7 linked regions of the Xenopus tropicalis genome follow. The protein of the gene in region 7 interacts with the protein of the main gene of each other region in a biochemical or structural test. Links are inferred from orthologs where the notes say so. Each region holds a gene or a part of one and is shown on either strand. Other genes may lie near its edges.

What was found.
Region 1: the proteins of erbb3 (region 7) and abl2 form a complex in vitro, tested with the Homo sapiens proteins (2 studies listed by BioGRID and IntAct, with this or other methods). The link is inferred for Xenopus tropicalis from reciprocal best matches to the Homo sapiens genes ERBB3 and ABL2.
Region 2: the proteins of erbb3 (region 7) and sh2b3 form a complex in vitro, tested with the Homo sapiens proteins (2 studies listed by BioGRID and IntAct, with this or other methods). The link is inferred for Xenopus tropicalis from reciprocal best matches to the Homo sapiens genes ERBB3 and SH2B3.
Region 3: the proteins of erbb3 (region 7) and shc3 form a complex in vitro, tested with the Homo sapiens proteins (2 studies listed by BioGRID and IntAct, with this or other methods). The link is inferred for Xenopus tropicalis from reciprocal best matches to the Homo sapiens genes ERBB3 and SHC3.
Region 4: the proteins of erbb3 (region 7) and tns2 form a complex in vitro, tested with the Homo sapiens proteins (2 studies listed by BioGRID and IntAct, with this or other methods). The link is inferred for Xenopus tropicalis from reciprocal best matches to the Homo sapiens genes ERBB3 and TNS2.
Region 5: the proteins of erbb3 (region 7) and grb7 form a complex in vitro, tested with the Homo sapiens proteins (2 studies listed by BioGRID and IntAct, with this or other methods). The link is inferred for Xenopus tropicalis from reciprocal best matches to the Homo sapiens genes ERBB3 and GRB7.
Region 6: the proteins of erbb3 (region 7) and nrg1 form a complex in vitro, tested with the Homo sapiens proteins (8 studies listed by BioGRID and IntAct, with this or other methods). The link is inferred for Xenopus tropicalis from reciprocal best matches to the Homo sapiens genes ERBB3 and NRG1.

What each region holds. Positions count from the first base shown.
Region 1 is NC_030680.2:99,866,726-99,870,777, forward strand, and holds part of abl2 (tyrosine-protein kinase ABL2), read right to left. Parts: intron 2,865-4,052; coding exon 2,780-2,864; intron 2,435-2,779; coding exon 2,257-2,434; intron 947-2,256; coding exon 762-946; intron 125-761; coding exon 1-124. UniProt on the Homo sapiens protein: Non-receptor tyrosine-protein kinase that plays an ABL1-overlapping role in key processes linked to cell growth and survival such as cytoskeleton remodeling in response to extracellular stimuli, cell motility and adhesion and receptor endocytosis.
Region 2 is NC_030677.2:163,168,509-163,172,560, forward strand, and holds part of sh2b3 (SH2B adapter protein 3), read right to left. Parts: intron 2,982-4,052; coding exon 2,767-2,981; intron 1,874-2,766; coding exon 1,702-1,873; intron 1-1,701. UniProt on the Homo sapiens protein: Links T-cell receptor activation signal to phospholipase C-gamma-1, GRB2 and phosphatidylinositol 3-kinase.
Region 3 is NC_030677.2:137,828,440-137,833,218, reverse strand, and holds the start of shc3 (SHC-transforming protein 3), read left to right. Parts: upstream 1-1,756; 5' UTR 1,757-1,896; intron 1,897-2,304; 5' UTR 2,305-2,332; intron 2,333-2,933; exon of another isoform or gene 2,934-3,195; 5' UTR 3,196-3,289; coding exon 3,290-3,823; intron 3,824-4,779. UniProt on the Homo sapiens protein: Signaling adapter that couples activated growth factor receptors to signaling pathway in neurons. Involved in the signal transduction pathways of neurotrophin-activated Trk receptors in cortical neurons.
Region 4 is NC_030678.2:147,566,861-147,570,912, reverse strand, and holds part of tns2 (tensin-2), read left to right. Parts: coding exon 1-1,018; intron 1,019-4,052. UniProt on the Homo sapiens protein: Tyrosine-protein phosphatase which regulates cell motility, proliferation and muscle-response to insulin. Phosphatase activity is mediated by binding to phosphatidylinositol-3,4,5-triphosphate (PtdIns(3,4,5)P3) via the SH2 domain.
Region 5 is NC_030686.2:9,726,505-9,730,556, forward strand, and holds part of grb7 (growth factor receptor-bound protein 7), read right to left. Parts: intron 3,283-4,052; coding exon 3,099-3,282; intron 857-3,098; coding exon 724-856; intron 1-723. UniProt on the Homo sapiens protein: Adapter protein that interacts with the cytoplasmic domain of numerous receptor kinases and modulates down-stream signaling. Promotes activation of down-stream protein kinases, including STAT3, AKT1, MAPK1 and/or MAPK3. Promotes activation of HRAS.
Region 6 is NC_030677.2:96,901,461-96,905,721, reverse strand, and holds the start of nrg1 (pro-neuregulin-1, membrane-bound isoform), read left to right. Parts: upstream 1-1,461; 5' UTR 1,462-2,423; coding exon 2,424-3,027; intron 3,028-4,261. UniProt on the Homo sapiens protein: Direct ligand for ERBB3 and ERBB4 tyrosine kinase receptors. Concomitantly recruits ERBB1 and ERBB2 coreceptors, resulting in ligand-stimulated tyrosine phosphorylation and activation of the ERBB receptors.
Region 7 is NC_030678.2:137,680,116-137,684,167, forward strand, and holds part of erbb3 (receptor tyrosine-protein kinase erbB-3), read right to left. Parts: intron 3,476-4,052; coding exon 3,400-3,475; intron 3,275-3,399; coding exon 3,128-3,274; intron 2,784-3,127; coding exon 2,686-2,783; intron 2,280-2,685; coding exon 2,103-2,279; intron 1,927-2,102; coding exon 1,855-1,926; intron 867-1,854; coding exon 599-866; intron 1-598. UniProt on the Homo sapiens protein: Tyrosine-protein kinase that plays an essential role as cell surface receptor for neuregulins.

The sequences.
Region 1 (4,052 bases), on a different chromosome or scaffold from region 7:
GGACACCCTTCTGGCTGTTCCATGCGATATCCCTTCTCTAACAAGTCATACACTTGAGAAAGGTCTATACCAGGATAGGGTGACATTCCATAGGTTGCAATTTCCCATAGAAGTACCCCAAACGCTGCAGTAAACAAATGAAAGCTTCTTAAGGACAGGTTTCAGCAGATTTTAGAATAAAGCTTGGCATATTTTCAACAACAAATTTAATTTACAAATATACAGATTATTAGCAATTTAAAGAATTCCAGTAATGTTGGAGAGAGATTTAAGGTTGATTTCATGTCACAAATACCTGATGTCAGTAGAAAGGACTGAGAGGTTATGTTAATGCTTTAAAAGGTACTTCAGTCTTCCACTATGAGCTTGATAATATTTTTAAGGCATGCAGAGATAGAGCAAACACTGATAGAGAAAACACTCTAAAAACAAAAGGATATTGGTATGTGGGAACTAACTGTGACTCGATCAGATTTAATGTACCTCTAATCTGAATTAGGGAATTGTTTATATTCTATACCAAATCACTCGCATCCAAAACGATTTGACGTTGTGATGTGGTTGATACTGAATATGTCACATTATTTTAAATACACCTTAGTGAAAGTTCTAGGAATGTCATTAAGGACGTTTCTCTGTTATTTAGAATTAGAGTGGATTTTAAACCAAACCCCCCTGCACCTCTTTAAATGGTATAAAAGTACATTGCAGTATCAGAAAGTAGACAAAGTAAATAAAGTACATAACAAACTCTCTCTTACCCCAAACATCTGATTTTATGGAGAATGTATTATATGCCAAACTTTCTGGAGCAGTCCATTTAATTGGGAATTTAGCACCAGCATGTGCTGTATACGTATCACCAGTCATAAGGCGGCTCAGTCCAAAGTCCGCTACTTTCACCACATGATTTTCCCCCACAAGACAATTTCGTGCAGCCAAATCCCTACAGAAAAATCAAGGGTATTTAGTATAGACATTAAAAAAGGACACAACCTTACATCCTCATTAATGAGTTCAAGGGATTATTAACTTTAAAGGGGTTAAACATGTGTAGATGAATACAACAGGATACAGAATTGACAATCACTTCTAATCTCCAATTATGAACAGCACTCCAAATGAATCGTATCGTATAAGCATTTCACTTTATATCATACTGTGTATGAGACAAATAAATTTGAATTTAATCTTCTTAAAACCGCCTTTATTCACAAAATTGGCACAGACCAGGATAGTAAGGTTCAGGTCTTCATTGACCCTTTATCAAGCTAAGGCTTCAAGCCAAAGCTTGATAACGGGTCAATGTAGACCTCGAACGTTGCTATCCTGGTCTTTGCCAATTAAGTGAATAAAGGCGGTTTTAAGAAGATTAACTTCATCATTGAAGAATTCTTGGTCTAGTAAGGTGAACACGGAGAAATTGTGGAATCCGGTTTGGTGCTGGCTTGCAGTCTGTTCATCACTTTTTATCTACCATAGCCTTGAGGCCTTAGAGATACACACTGTGTATGCATTAGTAATGAGTGGAAGCTAGAGTAGTACAGGTGCTTACCTTTCAGCCAAATTGTTTTTACTACAGTACAGTGAAACCTCAATTTAACATAGCCTTATGTTAAGTTTTACACTGTTTTTGTCCATTTCCCAGATTTTGAATTTTCCCAGATTATAAACCATTTTATTCTGGTCCGCCGAAAAATGTAAAATGGGGGTTCTACCGTAGTACGTGCCTCAACAAGTATTTTTTGCAATTTGGATTAATTAAAAAAATGCTTCATATAACTAAATCCCAAAAAACAATTACTACACTAACTCAGAGCATCTGCAGAGTAATGTCAGAAAGTGATCCGTAAGACTGGCAATGACCTACTTTCCAACAGAACTTGTAAAAAAAAAAAACAGCTAAATTTTTCAGATTTTTGGGGCTTTAGCATTTCTTTGTGATCTCACAGCTCATAGTCAATGATGCATGAAAAGTGTACAATGGGAGAGAAAAGTTGCCACTGTATATTATACTTTTGTATTCTAATAAACACTTTTAGTAAGTTATCTAAACATTTTATTGTTTTGTATTAGGATTTTCAAAGTGAAACTCAGTGTCTGCGTATAGATACATCTTGCAACCCACTACTATGTATACAAAGTTGCCAACTGAAAGACACAAAGCTATAATTTAAGTTCCCAGACCTCACAATGTGTTACTGATGGATTTGCTGGACTATAAAATTACTCAAGGTACCTATATATGCAACTCACCGATGGATAAAATTCTTTCTTTCCAGATATTCCATTGCAGAGGAGATCTGAGTGGCCATGTAAAGTAGCACAACAGCAGTCACCTCTTCCCTATTACATTCACGTAAATAGTCTAGAAGGTTCCCATAGTGCATGTATTCAGTTACTATGTAAAATGGGGGCTCCAGTGTGCAAACACCTAAGAACATAGTTAAGATGACAGATAAATATATTGTAGGAAGAATAGGCTATTACAGGTTTTAATAAGCAGGTATCCCAAAGGTCATTCTTACTTTTACGTAGTATCTAAAAATATTCATTCCTTCATTTAATAGTGTATTACATTCTACCTGGACAGTGCACTGCATCACAGAATGAAGACACTTGTACATGCATCAAAAAAACACAGCCAAAGGGAACAAAGACAGACTGACTAATGGAAGAAACCGAGAGCCAAAAGACTAATGTAGATCCTGTACATATTACACACACATTCACTCATTCTTATGGGTAATGCTTTGAATACTTTCTTTAGGTTACATACCCAGAAGTTGCACTAGGTTGGGGTGTTTAATTTCCTTCATTACTGCTGCTTCCTTCAGAAACTCCTCCACTTCCATAGTGTCTTCCTGGATAGAGCAGAAAAAGAGATATTAAAACAAATTATCACATATATAAGCCAAGCAAACATGTAACATTTTTGTTTGTTTGGCCCCAGCACAAATGGCTTACTTGGAGCCTGGGAAGAAACCTACTTGTAAAGTAAGCAGAGCTGCAAAGCAAAAAATAATGGCACTGTCGCAGTTACACGAAAGCAAAAAGGATGGAAAAAATGAGAGGCCATCTTAAAATCTGCACACTAAAGTCTTTCACATCATAATGTGTTTGTCTAGTATAAAACACTGAATGCAGCTCTGCATAGCAGATGCAATGATGCTGGAACTATGTGAAAAGAATGCTGCCTTGTGACTTAATGGTTGAAATACTTGTTGCATTCAACTTTTTCATAAAGCGATTCTGGCATGATTTCTATGGTGTGCTTTTTTCTAAATTACACTGTGTACACTGCAAATAATTTATTCTACCATTTAAAATTTCTAGAACCAACAAATGTATTTTTTAGCTGTAATATTGGTGTGTAGGCAGCCATCTCAGTGCATTGCGCCTGATTCTGAGCTTTCGGAAGAAGTCAGCATTACACAATAGAACTGCTTTCAGATAAGCAGTTTTTTCCCACTCAATGTACTGTCAATAGAACCCAAGTCGCATAACAGCAAAACAGGTTTCTCCACCTGGGTTGATATTCTCATGTCTACCACTAGGTGGGCCACTATAATGAGCACATTTAGCAAGGCACAATTTCTTAAGTCATTTGATCTCTACATTGCTAATCTTCTCCAGCCTTCAGGAAATATGAAGGGGGTCTCGGGTGTCAATGTATTGCCTCTCGTATTTTAATTCCATTTAGTTCATTATACTGCCTCTTACTGTATTTAATGTATTTTGGGCTGAAGTTCCCACTGCTTCTCACTTAATGTATTTTGGGTGCCTCTACATCTATCCCTCACTGTAAAATATAATGAAGATCTGTAGTTATCGTTCATAAAAACAGTGTACCATTATTAAGTGCATACTGTGTATATATATCTATATCTCCTTTACTATACAAACTAATTAAAGGTAATGGGGCACATAGAGCTGTATTTTCACAGTGTATTTTACCTGGCAGAGAACCCACACATTATTGGGGTCATTATAGGCAGTTTTGCCTGCTTACCCACTCATAATTCAAAACAGTACCAGGAGTGCTATTAGCT
Region 2 (4,052 bases), on a different chromosome or scaffold from region 7:
TGTGATCAGAGCCTGGCACAGGCATGCTATGTACCACAGAAACAAGTGTGTTATCATGTGGTAACATATAACTGTGACTTTATGGCTTTTTGTGACTACTGAATGTGTCCTTCATGCTTGTTATGGAAGTAAATCAGCATTATTACTTATTGAGATGCAGTATATATTTTGGTTTGTCTCAATATCAACATAACCTAGAATACTAATGCTACTACTGTAAATTTACCTCTACTGAGACAAGGAAAATGACAGAAGGCCCTACATGGTTACTGACGCAGTGTACATCGTGGCCTACACAAACAGTGCATGGGACAAATCCCCATACATCACCGTGTGTCTAAAGGGCAGCATCATTTGACAGAAGTTACAAAAAATAGGTGTACACTGTGTGTGGCTTCCTTGGAAAGCTAATAACTCTATGGTCATTACTATAAATTCCCTGATAAAAACACACAACGGGAATAATGTTTTTTTTTTTTCTTTTGCAATAACTGTACAGTTCCCTTCTTTGTTTATTAAACAGAAAAAGGACATCCCAAGGTTTGGCCAACTGCTTTTAATACAGGTATGGGATCCGTTATGTGGAAACCAGTTATTTAGAAATTACGGCAAGGTAATCTTCCATAGAGTTCATTTTAATCAAATAATTCTAATTTTTAAAAGTTATTTTCTTTTTTGCCATAATATGAAAACAGTTGTACTTGTACTTGATCCTACCTAAGATATAATAAATTCCTATTGGAGGCAAAATAATCCTATTGGGTTTAGTTAATGTTTAAATTATTTTTAATAGACCTGTAAGTATGGAGATCCCTTATCCGGAAAACCCCAGGTACTGAGGATTCTGAATTAACAGGTCCCATTCTTGTACTAGATAAACAAAGGACATAAAGTTCCATGCCCCGTAACTCCCCCTGCCCTGAGAAACTAAATATCACACACAACCAACCTCCCAGCCCAGCTTTGTTTACAGCACCATTATGAGGTTAGACTTTCAATGTTGGGGTTGTTTTCTCTGGAAAAAAGGCACTTGTGAGGGGACATAAATACTCTGTACAAGTACATTAGAGGGGATTATAGACAGATAGGGTTTTTTTTCCCATAAAAACAATCAGTGCACCAGAGGCCACTCCTTTAGATCAGAGGAACAGAAATTTCATTTTTCTTTTCACAGAGAGGGCAGTGAGGTTGTGGAATGCCCTTCCAAGTGATGTTGTGATGGCAGATTCTGTTAATGCCTTTAGGGTAATGTCCCATAAAGAGATTCGTTGCCCCTGATAGATCACTGCTGCTGTGGGCGACTATCTCGAAATGCTTTTCCACTGGCAACAACAGGAATCACCAGTGGAAAGGCCAATGCATCATTTTTTTGAAGACGCGCAATGCATAGGCCTTTTCACCGAAGATTCCCTTTGTTGCCAGTTGAAAAGCTTTTTGGAGAGACCAGTTGCCCACAGTAGCAGAGATCAATAGTGGACAGCTATTCTCTTCATGGGACATTACCCTTAAGGGAAGCTTGGATAACTTCTTGAACAAACATAATATCCAAGGCTGTTGTGATACTAAAATCTATATGGTATATATAGTTTACTGTATGTATCTCTTGCATAGCTAGCTAGGAACCCACATGGCCATAAAACAAAAGTTGTAGTTGTGCAACGGGGTAAACATGGGCAGAACTAAATAATGCTAAATGCTTACCATGTGGCTGGACACCTGCTACCACGTAACCAGACAACTTCACGTCACACGCTGCTCCACACTCCAGTGGAATTGGCTGTAATCGGAAGTACTGAAGCATTTCCAACACAGACCGGAAACGGAGATGCTGTACATGGCACTGACCTCTCTCTGTAAGGGTTAGGCGCAAGTGCTGTAAAGAAACGAATTGTGCATTGTTACAAGATCAGGTACATGTTCCTAGTTGTTGCTTCAAACTTAGGTACAGGTTTAGCAAAATGTGAGATTAAAGCTCACCACAAAAATATGCACTCACTTTTTCATTTCTATAAAATTTTTAGAAGAGTATCAGGCTAATGCCACGCCATGTGTATGGCATATATTTTTGGCAAGCCGAAAAACTCTTGCCGAAAATACGCACCATGCACTCCTACCTGTGCCCGAAATGAAAGGAATAGGCTCAGGTACAGGCACATGCCCTTAATTGCACATGTGTATTAAGTCAGTTTTGCAGAAATAGCAAGTAGTACTTAAAAATACTTTTTTGCTCCAACTTTACAATTGAAGAATTGTAACTTTACACAGAAAACTAAGAATAAAGACACCAACAATAGTTAGACAGAAAGCCCACACTGGTTGTAGGTAACCCCAACTGTCCCTTTGCTGCTTCCTTCTAGACACTTTCTGTGCGTGGGTGGTGCTTTGGCAGCAATATCCTCATCCTGAGGCCTCACAGTTCCTGCTAGCACTTCCTCATTTAAGCAGTTTCATTTAGGAACAGAAAGGAGGCTAACAGCATTATAAATCTGTAAATCTTACCCGTATCTATTCCAATTGGCTTTTGTTAAGTGACCGGTATCCGTGCCAGTCCAGTTGGAGGAGACAGAAGCTTACAAAATTTTTGCATTCACTTAAGCCAAAAAAACCAACATGACCCTGTGCACAGCTTCTCACAGTGAAAGCTTATATGCAATGCTACATAGCATTAGTTTTCTCATGTCACTCTATGCCAGATGAGCAGATTTTAATATTTTATGAATTTCAAACTATTTTTTCCACTATTATATTGTAGAGTAAGATCCTTACCTTTGCCCTTCCTTGAAAATTAAATGTAAGAACATATTCCCCTCTTCTTGTTTCACTCTGTCTCACAAGGAAGACACCGTGCCCTTCAACTCCCTGGGACTGGACAAGCTGAGCAGCTTTGACCCGTGAGATGGGCCCATGGAACCAGGGTGAGGAAGCCAGAAAATGATCAGTTTTGTGGCAGCATTGCTCAGGTGGCACAAAGACAGAAGCTCCTGGGGAGAAATAAGAACAAAAAAAAAAAATCACTCTTTGTGATATAATGGTAGTTGATTGTGAGCACAGTGAGTTAGATAAACATTGAAGTCAATACATAACATAAATCTGGATATCTTCAACCTTTCACGAGCTGATCTCTCCTACAATATAATGCTGAAAACTCAAATGCTGTATTTGCAAGTTAAATTACTGTCTCCCATGCCATCCCTCCAGTTATGTAATTCCCCTTGGCACACATGTCAGGTCAATTCTGCCACCAAAAAAGCGCCCCCTCCTCTGCCTGCCCATTTTCTAAAAATGGGCTCCTAAATACCTTAACAATGTACTGTTCAGTCTTTGCAGTAAAAGACTACAGCATGGCTTCTCTAGCCAAAATGTATGGTTACAAGTTTATTATCTGGGTTTTAATCCAAGACCTACTTTAAAGCATACTTTCATTCCTTTCTTTACTCAGTAGAAATAAATTGGCCCAGTTGGTTAAAGTGCTGGGTATTGGAAGCTTGGTTTGATTCCAATGTTAAATTTGTGAGACTTCTGGCAAACAAGTCTCTGGAGTCAGATTTAGACCCAGGACACTGACTATGAAGGTAGGGCACTCATATGCCATACAGCGATATGTTTGGACAAACAATTTTGAGAGAATCTCTCTCTTCCTCAAGTCAGTGCTGTAATGACATAGTGATGGAGATATAGATTAGTAACAAGCAGAACAAAGAGGAAGTGAGGCAAAACCACTGTAACATTGAATCAGAATAGAAGTGAATAGGGGTTATGAAGGTGAGAATGAAAATCAGCATTCCTGGTAGAGTTTTCCTTTTCCCCATCTAGTTTCTGATCCATAAATATTACTCAACACAGAACCAAAATATAAATATCACACTGGCTGCAACAGCATTAAATTTGCCAAGGTAAACATTCAAAGTTCTCTGTTAGGATAACATATCCTTATGAGATTTCTTTTCCAGTACGTGCATGGAGTATTTGCAGTTGGAAGAAGAAGAGTGTACACAGTTGGAGGGGTAATTCGGATTTTGGTTTGTCACATTAAACACTGTGCAACAGGGAAG
Region 3 (4,779 bases), on a different chromosome or scaffold from region 7:
ATTGTTTGTTTTTGGCAGACATGTGAGGCCTGATGAATTATGCCTCAAACTTATTACAACTTTGCTGAACTATTGCTGGCTTGAGACATAAGTGTTTATTTTGCAATTAAGAGGACCCTGAGTAGAGAGTATGGTGGGCTATAGGAAATATATCCAAACTATGGAGCAAATACCCAATGCAGTATTAGAAGAGAGTTCTGAGGCCTTTTCTGTTGGAAAGGGAAACCACAAATGAACATATACAAATATCTGCCCATGCTTGGTTTAGTGTATTGATCATTAATTAACATAAAAAGCTTTGTACAACATTAGTTGGTAGCAGGCTCCTTACCACTGTCTTTTATTACTTATTTTTATACGTCTTAGTATAATTTTTAGTATAGTTCTTGATCTACAACTGTATATTAAACATTGCTTTTGAGCAAACAGTGATCTGCCTCTATTGTGCAGAAAGCAATAGTTTAGGTATTATTGGGATGAAACATAAAATAATGTAACTGTAAATGGCCTCAACAGGCATTGGCACAGCAGACAAATACCCTTTAGTCTGGTCATAACATGTAGAGATACAGCTACTGTATATATACCTCTAACTCTCATTATCAAGCCCTTATGTTATATAGTATAAATAAAAAAAGTATAAGGTTTTAGTGAGAGGCAGGGATTTTCATTGCTTCCCTTTCTGTGGAAGTAATGTAGCAATAGCAGGGGATAACATAAAGCAACAAGAGCAAGGAGAAGTAGCAGAAAGAAAGTTTATTTTTCAAGGAATACTGATGGATAACCATTAGTTCAGATCATGTTATTTTGATCATGAATAAAAATTGTGGTGTCTTGTGAAGTGCTCCATAAGCAGAGCAAGCAGCTCAGAGGAAGAATCTTGTACTGAAGTGATGCTAATGCTGATGATTCCTGACATTTATTATCTATATGTTGTGCAGTTAGCTCTGGCCAAGTGAAAAAAATTACTCTCTGAACATTGCAATACTTCCTGCTTCTCAGAGCTAAAAAGGCCCATAGGTTTTGCATAAAAGCATGTCTTAGCTGTAAAATCTTTGTGCAACACAGAGAAGAAAAACTGCAACTGAACTGTAAAAATGAACTATAAAAACATCTAAGCAAATTAGTGTCAGGAATCCAATGCTTTTATTAGTTAAGGGGGGTGTTTGTATAAATGGTGCCCACCCCCAATATTAATTAAAATCAATTACTGCATGAGTTCAGTTTTGTAATATTGATTCCTGTTCAGAGTGAATTATATTTTATATGCTAAAATGCTATTCATGCAAGCCTTGATATAATTTAAAATAGCAGTGTTAGCAAAGGGTTAAGTTCGCTTACATTCAGTGCAGACTGGCAAAGAAAAGGAAATCGTGTTGTAAATCAAAACCCAGTCTGTCAATTTAACTTGTGCTTGAATAGGCATGTTAAAATAAGCACATTCGTGAATGAAGCTGCCTTTATTAAATTCATGTTCAAGAAATCTGTCTTTTTTAACACTAATTACACCCTGTGTTTTTTGAACGGTGTACTTTATGTTTGTGCAAAGAACCCGTATCTGCTTGTCTCGGTGCTGTTAAATGGGATTAAATATTGTCGTGGGAAGGATGCAGCCTGTGATCAAAATGGTCTCTTCCACTATTTAGCCAACCTTTGTTGAATGAGTCATCCAAACAGTCTCTCATTGGATGGAATGGTTAGCACCCAAGGGATTGCCAGGCAGGCGCTGCATGGCCCTGCTTCATTCACAGAATTACTGGTATGCTAGCCAGCCCTTTCATTCACATAAATAGAGTTCCATTCACATTTTGCAATTTTTATTTGTATCTAATGAAGAGAGACATTTGGGAACAATAGGGCTTTCTTTGTTAGATAAGACCTGAAACAATCTGTGATGTGAGTATTTGCTGTTGCTATGCTAACAGACAGAAGGGTAAGATGAATGCTGTGTGGATACTGCAGCGAGTTGCTGTGTGCTAATGAAAGGCTATTCTGCACATCACTAGAAACTCGCTCTTATATTAAATAGGACATTTCCATTATTCATCACTCCTGGGAGCTTAGGTGCTGACTTGTTTCATACATCATAAATAAGACTGACAAAATACATGAATTTTAAAGTTTATTTAGTGCATCTTGTTCTTCATGTGCTGCTTTATTATTACTGAAAGAATGGGAAACCTAGTAAGGGATTGTTGAATTGTACTGCTTCCTTTCTAAACAAGTTATCCCTTGTTTGTCACTTTTTAACATTGTATTTATTAATTCTGTGTTGTGGAACATACTGTGCTCCAAATGATCTAGTGGATGAATGGTGGTGGACACTATACTGGTAAGATTTTAATATGCATTGGCAGTTTCAAATGTTTGGGTATTTTGAGAATGCTAAATGATTTTCCTGAAAAAAGTGCAGCCTTTTTTTTTTAATATATTGGAAATAACTATTTACATCCAGACTTGCATTCAAATGCCTACTCCTACGCCCATTATGTACCGTAACCTAATATTTATTACCAATAGAGCACTGGATTTTATTTGTTTTTCTCTATTGATCTTATCATGGAATTTCTAAAACAAATTGTTGTGCTTTTGTCATCCTAATGTGAATACTATTTTTAGCAATTCTGTGCAGTTAGTGCCATTTTCACCTTTTTATATTTCATTAACATAAAATGTATGTGGAACTGTAAGTGTATTTAATACTTAATTAATACTTATTGGGTTTTATGTAGACAATCAGCTACTGTGCTTTACAGGTAGACCAACATAGTTGATAGAGGTGTGCTAAGGTTTGGGAAAGAAGGGACAGATTAAAAAGACTAGAAAAAAATGATGTGTTTATGAAGTTGGGGAGAAGAAATTTGAGAATTGATTGGTTCTAGTGTGCTGTAAGTGGGTGGATTTTTTTGTGCTACAGGAAGTGATTTGCAGCGTTCACAGAGCCTTTTGTTGAAAAGGGTCTCCTCATTTGTGTGAGTCATGCTTTTGCTGTGAGCGAGTTGGCAGCTCTAACCAGAATTGGAATGTCATAGAGAACTGTCTGCTTCTGCATCCATTCTACGTACATCTACAAGAACAGACAGATTCAATTTTATTTTGTTTGGTTTTTTTTATCTGGACAGTTTAGCACAGGTTTTCAAGTGTTTTTTTTCTTCTAAATTGTTATAGTATTGGCTTTCTTAATCTCTCTTACAGGTATAGTTATGAATGCCGGGATATGTTAGCAACTGTCATTTTTAGATTGGCAACAGATTTGCCAAAGCATATGAATAAAACGAGATAGAAGGGCATGCTTCAACGTACCAAGTATAACCGCTTCAAGAATGAATCTGTGACACCAGTGGACGACCTATTGCACAACCTGTCCATGAACAGTAAAGTCACCACTGTAGCCGGAAATCCAGCTTCACCACCCTGCTCAGCACCACCTGACGTGCTGCAAAAGGACCAAGAAAATGGACCCACCACTCTTTGTACGTTCATCCACAAAGTGTCCAACTTAAAACTCTCCAGTTCAGGCAGCCTGTTGGGTATTAAGAACCTTTCCTCTGCAGTAAAGGAGCTTACAGGTTCCAAGTTACAGGGGAGCTCTCCAGCACTAAGCATAGCAGCAGGAGCCACGGAGAACACATGTAACCTTGTCTCTACCCCGTGTTCTCAGCAGGACTTGAACAAGATGAGCACAGGGAAAAAAACACCAGAAGAAATGCATCAGGGAGGTGAGGATTGGAATCAAAGTAGCAGCTTCGTCAATAAACCTTCTCGGGGATGGTTGCACTCGAATGAGAAGATCCTGGGACCTGGAGTGACGTACATTGTGAAGGTTGGTCTGCTTCTTCCTTGTTCTTCTTTTTTATCAATGAACAGTTTGCTCTCGATAACAGCAGAATCATTCAGTATATAACGGCTCTGTCAGTGGCTGTATATTCCGATCTACAGCAGAATGATTAAACATGCAGTTCACATGTAAATGCTTTACTGTTGTGCTTACCAGGAGTAGGAGCATTCTGTTTTAGCTGGTAGCTTATTTCCTTGCAGTGTGAAAAGAAGTGTACGTTCCAAATATCAAGGGCTTCTGTTCTGCTGGATATATTTAACCATATGATATGAGACAAGCCTTAATGAATGCAGCGCTGCTTTCCAGTTAGACATTACTATGTTAATAAGAGCATTGGTTAAACAGTTACAGAACAATCATGGGATTTTTGTGGTTGCATAGAAATACTGCCTTGTAAACAATAATGTTACAATGATATTTTTTTATCCTGCTGTACAGGAGCTTTTTTTTTGAAGCACAGTAAAAAGATGTATGTTTACCATATAGTGCAGTTAAAATCGCGGAAGACTTTCTTTGAAGGCTAGGTTAATATTTGCAATCGTATATTATACCCACTCTTATGCTTCCTACGTGATGATTTTCCTGCTTGTTCCCACACATTCTCTATTCTTAGAAAGAAAAAGTCAGGAATATTGATATAAACCTACATAGTGCTACTTCTTCCAAGACTGGTTTTATCCTTAATGGTTGCATTTATAATAATTTCTAATCAGAATAATGTATTTTATTGGATTTTTAATAAGAAAAATGTTAAAGCATTATGCTGGCAAAGAGCAGAGGCTCTTTACCAGAGTTTTGTGCCTCTCAGTAGAAGAGGATAAGCTTACTTGTGTATCATTCCAAATAACAAAATAGGCATTAGCCACTGGTTTGGTGTGCACTTCTTGGTTATAGAGACCTATAATATGCAGCCTAGTACTGTCCTAAACTGTTTTGTCTAG
Region 4 (4,052 bases), about 9.9 Mb from region 7:
GCAAATCAAAACATCCAGACAAAGATGAATGTAAGGCCTCCCTATTCTGCCATGTGGCCTGTATCTCCTGATGGAGGAGCATCCCAATGTTTGCCTTTGGCTTCTTCATCCTGGGAAGGTCAGAGAGAGGCACCTTGTGAGACACATTGGAATGGTCAGCGAGAGGCAGCCATTCTGGAAGAAGAAATGGGACAATATGGGGAACTGGCTATGTACCCAGGCAGAAGGCCTTTAATCTCAAGACACTGCTCCTGTAGGCTGGGGTACTCGGGTCCAAATATTGAGGGACCGCCAAACAGATCTTACTTCAGGCCAGAAGGCATTATTGACTCTCGAGGGGGGACAGGGGCTGGGGTTATTCTGCAAACTGCTCATTATCCAGGAATGTATGGAGAACAAGAAAGAAGGAGATTGTTTCGCTCTTTATCTGAGGGACCACAGCATTACCCAGCTCATGCACATAGTCCACCAAAGAGAGGCAGTTTGAGGGATACACGGCCATACATTTGCCAGCCTCCTCCACATGAACCTCTTTTTACACCAGTATGCCCCTGCTCTCATTGTCAGAACTCGGCCTGCTACCCTGTAACTAACATGCAGCCATTTCACCGTGGGGAGCTGCCATTGCATATTCCTCAGCCTTTTGGACAGAGTGTTCAAATCAACCATGATTTCCCACATCCTTTCCAAGTCCCTCAAACAAAGATGCTGTATGGCTATCCACCTTCACATGGAGAAGAACCACTGCATTTTAACCATTTCACAGAAGGTGGCTATGGACATACATATCCACATTTTCTAAATCCGTCTTACCTCCCTCCTCATTGCCCACCTAATGGCTATGGTCCCCACTCATTTCCTAATTCCATATCCCCATATAGCCCACCAAGAGGTCAGTCTCCTCCTTCTGGCTCTATATCTCCTGCCAATCTCTCTGCTCCCAGAAGAATGAGCGGTGACACAATCTCTGCAAGCAGTGTCAGTGAACTCACATCTGTGGAACAACAGCAACCGGAAGGTGAGTATTACAGCCAATGATACAGACAATTCAATGATATTGTGCTTTTGGACAAGTTATTAGTCACTTTGGCATTACCGACACCTTAGTGGTATGGTAATTGCACCTTTGGCTTAAACATGTCAAAGCAGGACTCCAATTGTAAATATATCCATAAACTCCTACCGTTGTTACTTTTGGGTGAAATGGGTGGCACTCTAGCCTTCAGCTGTCTATAGGAACTAGGAGATGCAGTCCAGTTACAGCTGGAGGGTGGCAGGTTGAACACCCCTGCCCAAGAATCAGGGCGCCAGAACAGCTTTAATCAGTTGTCTCTTATTCCGGGTAAAGTAAACCAATGCATATGTAAAATGCTTTACATACTATGCTCATCTTATCAATATCAGTGTATAACAGAGGGGCGTTACTACTACATAAGAGGAATGTTATGTGGTAAAGCCCATGATGTAATAATGTGTAGCCCCCCACCCTCAGAATCTAGCAGCTGCACAAGTAAGCCCTGATGTAACTGGAAACAATGGTTATATATGGATCATTTATTTCCACTGTCAGAGGGTCTGGCTTTCATTATGGGGACTGGTAAACAAGGAGTGGAGTAGTGCTGATTTAGTATGGCCAGTAATAATGAGAAACCATTTGCTCCATCTCCTTTCTCCTCATGATTCTGCATGTTAAGTATTACTAAATAGAAATCACTTGAGATCTATGGGAAAGGTCAAAATGCATTTTGAAAATGTCCCCTGAGGCTGGCAACTCAACGACACTACCCCGTGCATACCTTTTCTGCCAGTGCACTTGTGCTCTCTGTACTAGAAGAGCTGAAACAGAGTTACGAGGCTAAAGTGCTGCACACTGCAACCTGATGCACATTTTAATTTCACTTTACGGCATGAGTGGCACTGATGGGATATTCTGTCTTTATTCTGTCTTTATTTAGTTGCCTGGAAAATCCCAATGATAAAAGCTACTTCAAATAGCGTCAATATGCACCCCTTGCACTTCCTCATAGTTGCACTTGTTGCTGCTACTTTCCTCCTGTTGCGCCTATTGCCGCAGACCAATGTGGGAATGTTGGCGCTACTTCTGTCTCTGAACCAGAGGGTATCCCTACAGTTCCCACAATGGCCTGTGTCAGTTTGCGCATCACAGTTGTGCCTAAAGAAAGTGTTGCACGCGTCACTCTGAAGGCAATATGAGATCTGCCAGAAAATTCCAGAGCAATTGCATCCAGTTCCTGTCAAAGCGCAAGCGCGTCTTAAATCATTCGCAGCAAGTCCGTCAGGTGCGTCTTTCCATGGCAACCACAGTTACTCTCGAATCATTGGAAAATTTAGCATTATGGGTTAAAGGAAATGGTTAATGCGTCTGGAAGTGCACATTGCACTGTGCCTATGGGAAGTAGATGGCCCCTCATTTCTGGAATTTTCTGGAAAAAACACTGGCCTTTCTTGGCTGTTATCATTCTTTCCTAACAATGTATTGGCATCAAAAGTTATATTTATTGACAAGGCTGGTAAAGTGCCGACCAGGTGGCTACTCTATGGATCCAGGGCCAGGGCCAGCCGCCCAAAAGCCCTACCAGGAAAACTAAAGGTATTTTCAAATAGATATGATACTTTATCAGTATGGTGCAAATTTTTAACCACAGCCTAAGTAAGGGTCATTTGTATGTACTCTCAGCGCATTCCCTTCCCCAGGCTGCCTGGCCCTTTAAAGGAACAGTTTAGTATAAAAATGAAACTGGCTAAAATAGACAGACTGCACAAAATAAAAATATTTTCAATATAATTAGGCAAAAATGTAATCTATAGAGGCTTGAGTGGGCAGATGTATAACATAATAGCCAGAACTCTACTTACTCCTTTACAGCTCTCTAATCTGTTAGCAGTCAGTAGCCAATCAGTGACTTGATGGGGGGGCCATATGGGACATAACTGTTTGGTTATTTTGCATTTGAATCTGACCTGCGTGCTCACAAACTAACTGAACAGTTATGGCCCATGTGCCCCCCCCTAAAGTCACTGACTAACTAAGAGGTTAGGAGCTGAAAGCAGGAAGTAGAGTTCTGGCTATTATGTTAGACATCTGCTCACTCCCACCCTTTATAGATTACATTTTTGCCCAACTAACTATATTGCAAATATTTTTTTATTTTGTTAGCAAGCTAGACAGTGCCAGGTGACCCGAGAGTGGCTTCTGGGAAAGTCATACGTGTGGCACCAAATGAAAGTTCCAGCGCCCTGCTGCAAATCATTGGTACACATGGCTTCAGCCTCAGGTACTGCTACTGTCTAAAAATTCTCCTGAAATTATAGTTAGTTGCCCTTTACTTCTGGCCTGTGTTGGTGAGTGTTGGAGCCACAATCAGGATGCACATGGAATAGGCGTGACCTGAGACTGCTAATCGGCTCTGTGGTAAAGCAGTTTCCCAACTAACAGAGAATCCTGTCTCCCTGCCACCCCACAATACTGCTATTTATTTATTCTTTGTGCTCCGAGAGAAACCAAAACGCACAAAGACAACATTTTGTTCAAGTTTCTCGTAATCATTATAATTATTATTGTTAAAAGAAACTGAGTATTTGCCTGATGTTTCTCTCTGTGGGAACAATAAATCACCTTCATCCCTAATATCATGGAATGAAGCCTCTGAGTTCAGTTCTGTTACAGAGTGGCCTCTCCTGCACAAGTGCTCCTACCTGCACTGTGGCCTAATCCTTTCTCATTTATCTCTAATAGTGCGTCTATTCAGGGGATTCCTAATCATTTGTGCTCAGGACAAATGGCAAATCCACAATATGGACAAGAGTTATGAATAAGCTGTAAACGTCCTTATAAATGGCCCTTAAAGGAAAAGGAACTCTGTAAAAATGAGACTGTATATTTCTAATAGCAAAAATGTAATCCATAAAGGCTGGAATTAGCAGATGTCTAACATAATAGCCAGAACACTACTTCCTGCTTTCAGCTCTCTAACCTGTTAGTTAGTCAGTGGCACATGGGCCATAACTGTTCAATTAGTTTGTGAGCACGC
Region 5 (4,052 bases), on a different chromosome or scaffold from region 7:
AACGGGTAATTATATCTTAATTGGGATCAAGTACAGGTACTGTTTTATTATTACAGAGAAAAGGGAATCATTTAACCATGAAATAAACCCAATAGGACTGTTCTGCCCCCAATAAGGGGTAATTATATCTTAATTGGGATCAAGTACAGGTACGGTTTTATTATTACAGAGAAAAGGGAATCATTTAACCATGAAATAAACCCAATAGGGCTGTTCTGCCCCAATAAGGGGTAATTATATCTTAGTTGGGATCAAGTACAGGTACTGTTTTATTATTACAGAGAAAAGGGAATCATTTAACCATGAAATAAACCCAATAGGGCTGTTCTGCCCCCAATAAGAGGTAATTGGGTTCAATTACAAGTTACTGTTTAATACTACAAAGAAAAAAGAAATATGGTTAAAAATTTGAAATTAATTAATTACAATGGAGTCTATGGAAGATGGCAGATTCCCATAACTTGGATCTTTCTGAATCACGGCTTTCCAGATAAAGGATCCCATACCTGTAGTAGATTTTTGAATGGGAGCTGGCAAACGGTTTGCTTGCAGAGATGCATAGAGAGTAGTGTTGTCTATCTGACCACTAGATGGGGATTTTTACTACTAGAAGTATAGGTGGAATCAACAGACTAAATGAAATCACAAATAGGGAATACATAACACTTCCCTCTAATAAAACATGGATTTAATTATAATTTATTTTTAAGCTGAAGGACTTACATGAGGACCCCCTTCCTTTGGGGAGCGACCACTTGGGGTGTTATTTAGGATGGGGGAAGAATTGCAGAGCTCTGGGAACGGGTTTGGGATGTCAGGGAGTGATGCTGATCGTGATTCCTCATCTCGTAATCTCCTGCAACACATAAATACATACGGTTACACCTCTTGGTTATGGGGAGCAACATTTAATTTGTTTGGTCTTCATTTTTTATTTGTTATATTTTATAATTATTTGCCTTTCCCTTCTGACTCTTTCCAGCTTTCAAATGGGGGTCACTGACCCCGGCAGCCAAAATCTATTGCTCTGTGATGCTCCAGTGTTATTGTTACTTTTTATTATTTATCTTTCTATTAAGACCCTCCTCTATTTATATTCCTGTCGGTCTTTTAAATCACTGCCTGGTTGCTATGTTAAATTGGACCCTAGCAACCAGATAGCTCCTGAAATTCCAAACTGGAGAGCTGCCAAACGAAAAGCAAAATAATTAAAAAATAAACTGCAAATGATAAAAATTGAAGAACAGTTGCAAATAGTCTCAGAAGAGCACTTTCTACATCATACTGAATGAAGACCAATTGCAAATTGTCTTAGAATATTACTCTCTACAAAAAATGAACAACCCCTATAAGGCAGGCCATGGGTCAGACTGCAGAACGAATAGATTATAACAGGGTGATGGGGTCTTGTTGGCCAATAAGCAATGACTGCAATTTCCATCATAATTCTTTGCAAAGGCAAAGCGCACATTCATGGAGAGTAGTACAAGTACTGCTGATCCAAAACATTCGAAGGTCCAGAACCATAGGAGGACTGTGATAAAGGCAAAGGGAATCTCTGTAGTTATTAGGGTTGCCACTTTTACCGAGTAAGAAAGCCAGGCAGGGGGCGGGGGTGATGTCATGGGGGGCGGGGATGTGGTGGGCCATGACATCACGGGGGTGGGTCCATGACACAGCGATCGGCAATTGGCCAATCGCCACATCAATGTTACTGAGTCCAGCCCGGTTTTCCTAATTAGGGAAATTGGGCAGGAGGTTTTTACCCGGGCAGCCCTTCCGATAACCTAGTGTCTGCAGAAGCTGAAGTTTATTGGGGACCAGGCCTGGTCTGGGATATAAAATAGGCCCTGGCATTCCCAGTACCCAGAGGCACAAACAGCCCCCCCAGCCCAATAAATAGTGACTGTCTGTGGCACCTTACAGCCCCCCCGGCATTCCCAGTACCCAGAGGCACAAACAGCCCCCCCAGCCCAATAAATAGTGACTGTCTGTGGCACCTTACAGCCCCCCTGGCATTCCCAGTACCCAGAGGCACAAACAGCCCCCCCCCAGCCCAATAAATAGTGACTGTCTGTGGCACCTTACAGCCCCCCTGGCATTCCCAGTACCCAGAGGCACAAACAGCCCCCCCCCCCCAGCCCAATAAATAGTGACTGTCTGTGGCACCTTACAGCCCCCCTGGCATTCCCAGTACCCAGAGGCACAAACAGCCCCCCAGCCCAATAAATAGTGACTGTCTGTGGCACCTTACAGCCCCCCTGGCATTCCCAGTACCCAGAGGCACAAACAGCCCCCCCCCCCCAGCCCAATAAATAGTGACTGTCTGTGGCACCTTACAGCAGCCCCTCTGGCATTCCCAGTACCCAGAGGCACAAACAGCCCCCCCAGCCCAATAAATAGTGACTGTCTGTGGCACCTTACAGCAGCCCCTCTGGCATTCCCAGTACCCAGAGGCACAAACAGCCCCCCAGCCCAATAAATAGTGACTGTCTGTGGCACCTTACAGCCCCCCTGGCATTCCCAGTACCCAGAGGCACAAACAGCCCCCCCCCCCCAGCCCAATAAATAGTGACTGTCTGTGGCACCTTACAGCAGCCCCTCTGGCATTCCCAGTACCCAGAGGCACAAACAGCCCCCCCAGCCCAATAAATAGTGACTGTCTGTGGCACCTTACAGCCCCCCTGGCATTCCCAGTACCCAGAGGCACAAACAGCCCCCCAGCCCAATAAATAGTGACTGTCTGTGGCACCTTACAGCCCCCTGGCATTCCCAGTACCCAGAGGCACAAACAGCCCCCCCAGCCCAATAAATAGTGACTGTCTGTGGCACCTTACAGCCCCCCTGGCATTCCCAGTACTCAGAGGCCCAAACAGCCCCCCAGCCCAATAAATAGTGACTGTCTGTGGCACCTTACAGCCCCCCTGGCATTCCCAGTACCCAGAGGCCCAAACAGCCCCCCAGCCCAATAAATAGTGACTGTCTGTGGCATCTTACAGCCCCCCTGGCATTTGCCAGAACCCACAGATTGCCAGTCCCAGTTAGCTAAATGCCTGATTTAATATGAAATCTCTAGCCGCCGGCAGACTGCCACTTACCCCCACTTACGGCTCTGAATGAGCAATGGCTGCGACCTCTTCAAATCAGGGGAGAGCAGTTCGGCTTTCTCCGGGTGTCCTTGTTGTGCAGTGGGGCATCGGCTCGTACAGCCTTCTCTCTCATACAGATTGTCTGGGGCAGGACTGTGATTGCTCTCTAAGGCCTCCAAATCCATGTCATCCCCTAAGGGAGAAATAGGGAAATGGCCATCACACATATAAACCATAGCAAATCACACACAGTGAAATCATTTGTGTTTATTTGCAAACCTTAGATCCCCAAATCATAAAAAATAAGCCCTGCATGTAATAAAAGGCACTCTGGGGGTCATTTATAAACAGTGGACAAATTTGCACCTGGGCAGTAACCCATGGAAACCAATCATAGTTTTCATAGTTCAACTTGCAGTTGAAAAGAAACTAATCTCTGGTTGCTATGGGTTATAGCCCATGTGCAAATGTGCCCAGTGTTTATAATTGAGCCCCACTAGGTTTGCCCCAGTAGCAGTAATCCATAGCAACCAATAAGATGTTTGCTTTTAAAGGGGTGGTTCACCTTCAGGTTAACTTTTAATATTACAGCATAGACTGTTCTTAGCAACTTTTCAAATGGTCTTCCTCTTTCCTGTTTTCAAATGGGCAGTCACTGTCCTTTAGCAGCCAAAATAACAACTACCAAATATGCCAAAACTACAGCCAAAAATATTATAGTGAGGGCACTATTACTGGTATCTATAGTGAGGGCACTATTACTGGTATCTATAGTGAGGGCACTATTACTGGTATCTATAGTGAGGGCAGTATTACTGGTATCTATAGTGAGGGCACTATTACTGGTATCTATAGTGAGGGCACTATTACTGGTATCTATAGTGAGGGCACTATTACTGGTATCTATAGTGAGGGCACTATTACTGGTATCTATAGTGAGGGCACTATTATGAGTATCTATAG
Region 6 (4,261 bases), on a different chromosome or scaffold from region 7:
CAATTTAAATTAGGAAGTTTTGATGATCTAATATTTTTAACTATTATGTTCATATTGTGTAAAACAAGATGTAATGGCTAGGTTGCCATCTAATGTGGCTGTTCTGCAGTTATTATATTGCCCTTTTTCTATTTACAATGTATGCAGGACTTTGGACATCATAAAATGTATTTTCTGGCAGTGGCTCTTGATGAAATGAAAGGCAAATAGCCTTTTGTGGGGTCACAAAGAGGTGACTAGTGAATGAAAGTAGGCTTTCCAAGTCAGAGTTTTGAACAGCTCTGCTACCCATTCATTGTGTTTTGCAATACGCAGGAGCACTCATAAATACTTCTTTCTGACAGCACTCAGAAAATTCAATTAGGACTAGTTCACAACCCATCTTTACTTACAAATAATATAACCATCTCCTGCTGCTGTTGATTAGCCGATAAACCCCCTAAATTATAAATATGCATATTATAAGATATTTTAGCATGTTGCAATGACAGTTTTTTGTAAATTAAAATGATCTATACATACATATTTATAAAAGCAGTTTAAATATTTACATACAAATACTCTGTAGTGTAAACTGAGTGCGATATGTTACAGCACAATTATTTACATGCTTAATTTAAAGATAATTAAAAACAATAGAGTCAGTAACCTAGTAAAATTTACAAAATAGTTGGCTGTGCCTCTTTTCTCAGCAATTAAAATATGATTGTCTCTCAGTTAATAGGCAGCACCTTATTATCAAATAAGCAGCTACTTTCTTAAGGCAGTTTGTGATAGCAACAATTGCCTCGGCATCCCATATGTAAAAAAAAAGACGCACAGCAGATATCAGTACAGAGGAAATGTAACATGACTGTGCAGAATCCTTGCCACACCTTCCTTCTACAAGTGAAACCAAACTGCACCAATGCACACACCTCTCCCTGAATCCAGTGCTATCTTGACATTTTATATCCTCAAAACCTTCCTTTTGTCTGAGGATGTTTTAAAACATGCTTGCCATCTTGCCAAAGACCTTAATGCTTTTATTGTGCGAAATACAATCATTTATTTATTAATTTCTTGTTTCTGCAAAGCTTGATGGGAAATGGGAAATCATCCCTAAAGGCTGTTAGGTGAATGCTGGGAGATGTAGTTTATTAAACATTGGAGGTTGTACATCTCCGCCCTAGACCATTCATTGCCTTGTCCGCAGTATAACCATATAGTGGAATAATTAAGCACTTTTTGCTAAGTCTGATTTGATCTAATTCTGTCTCAATTGAGTATTTTTTTTTTTTAATTGTTCTTGTCCACATTGTGAACAGTATTATTTTACTGATGGATAAACTCCCTAGAACAGCAGGATGATAGAAACAACAGTTTGTCTCTTGGGAGGAATCAGATATCAGATTCACTAAGCTTTAGGTTCTGCCCATAAAGCTACCTTCTTCACCTCCTCATCCTTAGCCTAGTTACATTGCTGTAATCGATTGCTGCGCCTTTCCCTAACTGAACACTGTGGAAGCTAAAAAAGAAGACAAAAAAAGAGAATGAAAGATCATAAAGGTTGCCTGCTGCCTTCTCTTTGATTTGATGATCTTCATTTCTTCTAATTGGATAAAGTAGGAAGTCACTGGTAGCACTCTGTTGCTGGATTTTATTCAGACCAGCCCTGCAGTGGGTGGGGGAGAGCAGTCAGAAGAGAAAGGAGAAACTAAGTGATATGGTACGTGACAGAGAATGCAAGGACATAGGGCTTCTGTGCAAATGGGAAAGAAGATACAGGCGCAGTGAAGAAGACTAAACAGGCAATGAAGACAAAGGGAGTGACCACACAGTAACTGTTATCCTTATTTTCTGGTCCCAGCTTGTCATAGTACTGTGTGCAGTGATGTTCACTGTGCAGGCACCTGCTGCTCTGTAATGATTCAGCCTCTTTCGCTCGCAGCCTTAACACAACAGGATGGTATTACTGCTGCCACTGCTGCCTCGTGTACTGCTGTTGCCGTTGTTACTTCCCTTTTTGTTGTTGCTGCTTCATGACAGTTATTTTCTACCAAACAGATACCATCTTCAGATGCTGCAGGTGAGAGAACAGCAATTTACTCTTGGTTATTGGTTTACCTAACTAAATGACTGCTGACTATGTGTGTCCTGCATCCTCATAGAAAACATGTCTGAAAGGGAGAGTGAAGCATGCTCTCCTAATTAACAAAAGGGCAAAGAAGAGAATCAGATATTAGAGCCATAACTGCTATACTCTTTTTGTAAAGAATACCATTTAGTTGCTCTTTTCAACAGCCTGCTGAGACTACTTTCTGATTTACTGGATAAAATGCAGATGTCTTTTTTAGAGCATGTAGCCCTGCTTTTTCTGGTTATGGAACACATAAAGATCCAAGGTTCAATAAAGCAAGCTGCTTGAGATTTATGCCTTTAAGATGTCTGAAGATACTGCAGAGGGTTTGCAGAACCAGTGCTCTGAGCAGAGCTCAGGCCCCCCCTCTGCTGAACTTCAGAATGAAGAAAGCATGCCAGGGACTCAAGCTGAGGAGGAAACGACCCATGGGATCACAGGCCTTGCTATTACCTGCTGTGTATGCCTTGAGGCAGACAGGCTGAGAATCTGCCTTAACTCTGAGAAGATCTGTATTATTCCTATCTTGGCATGTCTAATTAGCCTGTGTCTCTGCATCGCTGGCCTTAAGTGGGTGTTTGTAGACAAAATATTTGAGTATGACTCTCCTACCCATTTGGACCCTGGGCGCAGAGGCCAAGATCTTATCCTTTATACTGACACCGCTCCTTCCACTTTGGTGCCATCTTCTGTTCGTACTTTACCTGTCCTTATTCCTACAACTGATGCTAAGGCACCAGTTACATTAAAATTTGGAACTTCTCTTTTACCCACAGAACCCACTTTACAGCCATTTACACCTGATCAAATTTTACCAAAAGTTACATCAGTAGGAAAATCAGTTGAGCCTTCTACCCTAAATCTAATTGGAACCACAGAAAGAGGTCGTTTAGCTACTACTAAAAGGGGTATGTATAGTTGGTATTACTCCTAATATTCTGTTCTTGCCTTTATTGTGGAGCACATATCTATGTATCTAGCTGTTTTTTTATTGATTGATTTATACTTAGCACTCTTACACTTTAAGAAAGGGTGTGTAATGCATCCACAATTTTGTCCAGTTAATAGATCACAACCTAGTTAATAGTACTGTAAGGCTATTAATTTGCAGTCTCACCTCTACTTTACATCCAGTTTATGACTACGATAAAGACTGAAAGTGTAAACAGAATTACGATGAAGACACTAAGGGCTTCATCATTTATTAAGAACATGCCACATGTAGTCAGTGTTGACCCTGAAAAGTAACCACCTTATCTGCTGCACATTTTGTAACATTACTGGCCTTAATGTATTGCTATTGAATATGATTAATCTATTGCAGAAAAGACCACAAAATAATTTTGTATTATATTGCCTTTGACTAGTTTTTCAATACAGGACTGTTGCCCTTTTATGCATTGGTTTAAGCAGTAACAAATAGTAATAATAGTAAATAGTTAAATAGTAAAATATGCCTGAAACAAGAAATTGAATGTCCTTTCATTTAGCTTCAGCTCAATGCCTGCTGTGTATTACTGTACAGTAGCTTTAGAGCGATTACAGAGCTATGAATTCTGTAAAGTAAAAATGCAAAACTGTTGGCTTAGTAAGTGCTGAAATTTTGTTTTTATGTGTATATTAAAGACCCTCACATATTCCTGAAGATTTTAAAGTAATGACGGTATTTTATTGTTTCTGCTCTACAGTGGGTTAAAGAGCAGGCAACACAGCATATGTCTATATCACTGAGAAGCAAAACTGTGGAATATTTTTCTTCTTAAGAATATTTTTCTCCTTAAGAGTCTCTTTTTACAGACTCAGGTAAGCCAAAAGAGTATGGCCTACATGGGTCTTTAAAATAACCATAGCATCTTTCATTCTGTATCACCTTCACAGCATAAGGGGTGATTAATGAAGCAGTTTAAATAATGTTGTGTTTTAATTTATGCCAGCACCAAATATGCATATACATTTAAATAAATCCACTTTGCCTAATTAATTCCCACTGACATTCATCAGGTGTTTGAATTACCCGTTCTGCTTGTTCTGCTTAAATATATTTTGCTTCTGCAGTCATTTAGTTGGCACATGACTTTTTTAAGATGGTGCTGTTGAGTCACTTTTAAGGTGTGAGATACCATGTGCATTAACCATGCAAAG
Region 7 (4,052 bases):
GGTGTAAATACGCAGGGGCCACAGCCAATAAAGGCAGTCTGCTGTAACCTATTAGACACCTAAGAATTCTGTGCTAGTTTGTCTCTTACAGAGCTGTACTATCCAGGGAAGGGTACAAGCTGTAAAAATGGCCAGAACTCAGTCTTTCTATTAGCCATTTACTTTTTACTCTGTTTACATATTCCCAAGCTAATGTATATTACTTTACCTCATACATACTGTTGCTCCTTCATTATTTATATAATGAAAACAATTTACCAAAAGTACTTTTAGTATTATGTAAATAGTGATATTCTGAGGTAATTTACAGTTGGTTGGTTGCCCAGAGTCCATATACCCTAACGAGCAGGCAGTGGTTTAAATGAGAGTGTGAATGAGAGTAAATGAAATTAAAAATTGCAGCAGAACAAATGCATTTCATGTAATTGTAACATAATACTGGCTGATACAGTCTGTTTTCACATATGGATATTTTGGGTTTAAGATGACATTTGCCACTTTATGGCGTCAGGGATATCTTTCATTTCCATAAGGTTTTGGGCACATGCCATTTTTCTCAGCAAGAGTTCTGAGTAGAGGATTTCTGTGCTATACTCACCACTTTGACTGAGCCCTGGCATGATATACTCGCTGTCATCATCAGGGGTCCCAACAAGGAGGCTCTCCCTTTGGGATCGGTATGCACTGTCAAGGCGAGAGCGAGAAATGTGGCTCAGGCTCCCTCCGCCATAGGAATTATCCTCTATTGTCTCCAGGTCTGAAGAAGTACAACAGCCCTCTGATGACTCTGACACTGTTCGGCCAAGTGAGTCTTCTCTTCTGCGTGTCCCATGTCTTGGAATTGGTTCTGCAGAGGTCATTGTTCCCTGAAAACAGCCCACATGTTAGAAACCCCCCATCTACATCTTCCCAGATGTTCATTTTCACTCTTAACAGAAGGGTTAGTTAAGAGTAATGCAGGCAGAAAACCTTGCTGTCCCCTATATGTAATAAAAAGTACTAAGTTTTCCCAGCAGTGGTAACCCATAGCAACCAATAAGATGTTTGCTTTTAAATAGGTGACCAGTCAATGTTTCCTGCTGATTGGTTGCTATGGGTTACTGCTCCTGGGCAAACTTAGGGGCTGATTTACTAATCCACGAATCCGAATCCCAAATGGGAAAAAATCGTATTGGAAATTAACATTTTGCGACTTTTTCGTATTTTTTGCATTTTTTTTCGTAGCTGTTACGACTTGCACAAATTGTCGCTACTTTTTCGCAGCCGTTACGACTTGCGCAAATTGTCGCGACTTTTTCGTATTGAGTCGTAGTAAACGGCAGGCAAACCTTTCCGTTTTTTTCGCGACGGCTACGAAAAAGTCGCGACAATTCGCGCAAGTCGTAACGGCTACAAAAAAATTGCGATGGCGACGAAAAAATCGCAAAATACCTATCATTACAAAAAAAACGCATTCGGACGCTTTCGATCCATTCGTGGATTAGTAAATCAGCCCCTTAGTGTCTTTAATAACATAACCCCATATGAGTTTTGTTGTATTGCTATTTCCTAGAATGTATGTATTCTTTGTATTTTGGAGCATAAAAATGGGCTGTTAGCATATCTTGGTGTGTAATCTGTCAATCTGCTCAAGGGCTTTTGCTGTAGTGACAAATATATACAAAAATATAATAAATCCAAATATAGAAAATTAGGCACAAAATCTTTTCTATCTTTTTAGGCATAGCTGTCAGTACATTAATGTACACATTAAATAAACTTTATTGGGAAAGGAATAAAAATGATCTTAGTTAAGTTATTCTACATGCCGCCTTAAGTGGTCATTGCTATTCTTTTTTTTTACCCCAAATTTACCTTTCTTGAGGAGCTGCAAAGACTCTGGTTCATAGGCAGGTACCCAGCGATAGAGCTCAGTGCACTCTGACTCTGAAAGGAAAGCCAAGATTTAACTTACAGAAAAAACTTACCATTCCCCCATGTGCAACTTTATGACTGTGCTATTGCAACTGAAAGTGCTACGTATAAAAAAAGATATACATGCACTGCATGATGCCTGTATCCCTCCTTGCCCAAGCCTTTTTGATAGGCTCTGTTTTCCTTACCCTAGAGTAGTCAATTCTTTGTCGTGAGGCATATAGGGTAGTTGGAGTTTTAGGCTGCATTGCCATGTCTTCAGACTCAAGGTCAGTGTCCACGTCAGACTCCAGATCACTCACTTGTTTCTCAGACAGAGGTGGTGGATCCCCTGGGAGTGGGGACTGAAGTGCATCACTATTGCGCTGTTTGGAGAAGAAAAGAGATGTCATCAAGGTGCACAATCATCAAAATAACATTTTTTTTATATGTATTTTTTACATGTATTTGGTCTTTAAAAGTCATTTCTTTAACTTGCTTGGGTATCTGTCATGCTATATGGCTGAAATGTGGTTTTACTTTCATTACACCAGCGAATAAGTAAGAAAAAAAAGGAAAAGATCTGGAAGTCTCCAGGTTTCTATTATTTACACCAATAAAATTGTATAAGAAGCAGGTCATACTTAAATGGCAAAGATAAGAAAGTCAAAAATATGAAGAGCAAACTGTATCATAGCACTTGTGATTTGTATATGTAATCCAGCAATAATGGAATTTTGCACCCCTGAGGCAATAATAAATGATACCCAGTCAATAAGAGATTCATCTCACCGTAACAACCAGGTAGCGAGGTGGATCCCTAGCCATACGGGTGAATTCATTTCCGAGTTCTTTAAACGTAGGGCGAATATTTTCATCAATCATCCAGCCTAGAAAATAGAGAATGTAACAGAATCAAGTCAATCAGGCTCTTACAGTTTGCTGTTTAATAATAAAACAGTACTTTGTACTAAGCTGCATGAATCCACATTGATGGCAAAACAATACTGTTAGGTTTAAGGAATGTTTAAATCATTTTTAGCAGACTTAAGGTATGGTGATCAAAATTACGAAAAGATCCCTTATCCAGGATAACCCCAGGTCCCAATCATTCTGGATAATAGACCCTATACCTGGATATCTCCTACATGAAAGCCTCCGAGAGGTTCTAATGATCTCTATGTACTGCTAATGCCTAAGAGAGCCCAGATTAGCAACGAATACCTCTACTTACATTTCACCATTACCATGTAGACATCAATGGTGCATATTTGTGGTTGGGATAGTCGCTCCCCTTTCTCTAGGAGGTCAGGAACTTCTGACAAACGAATCCCTGTGTATGGTTCTGCACCGAATGTCATCATTTCCCATAGAGTAACACCTTTTTGAGGAACCAAAAATAAAGGCATTGCTGACTATTGTTAAGAGTAAAGGCAGGGCAGGTAATGATATATAGTTCATGACAGTGTGAAGCACAATAATGCCTTGGGTATCTGTTCCACGTACCATAGCTCCATACGTCACTCTGATGAGTGTACTTCCCAAAGTGTATACTTTCCAGAGCCATCCATTTCACGGGAGTCTGCATAGTACCAAAAAAGGTACATTAAAAAAAAAATAAAAACAAAAGTACAATTTTAATCAAATCTCAAAAATTTTTCTCAGTGAACTGGATAGTTTGATTTTTTTCAGAATTTGATTATAAATCAGTGTATGTAGAAGTAAAATAAACAGATACAGGGGTATGTACAGGCCCAGCCTGGGATTCAAAATAGGCCCTGGGATTATAATTACACAGAGACCTAAACAGCCCCCATGAGCCCAATAAATAGTGACTCTTACAGGAGAAGGCTCTGGCATTTGCCAGAATCCACAGATTACCAGTCCAGGCCTGTCCACAAAAAAAAATCCAAAAACCAAAGCAGGTAAATTCCCCTGACACATCCATGCTAGAAACTATAATGCCGGATGCACCTAGAACAATTGTGTTAATTTAAAGCTTGTTGCTAAAAAACAACTGCAAACAGCATTAATGGACACCCTGCTGCTTGGTGATTCACCGGCCCTTGCAGTTGCAAAGGAATATGAACAAGGATATGAGAGCAGAAACCAGCATTGGAATATGCTTAGCTAGTAATAAGGTAAGGTTAGATATTAAG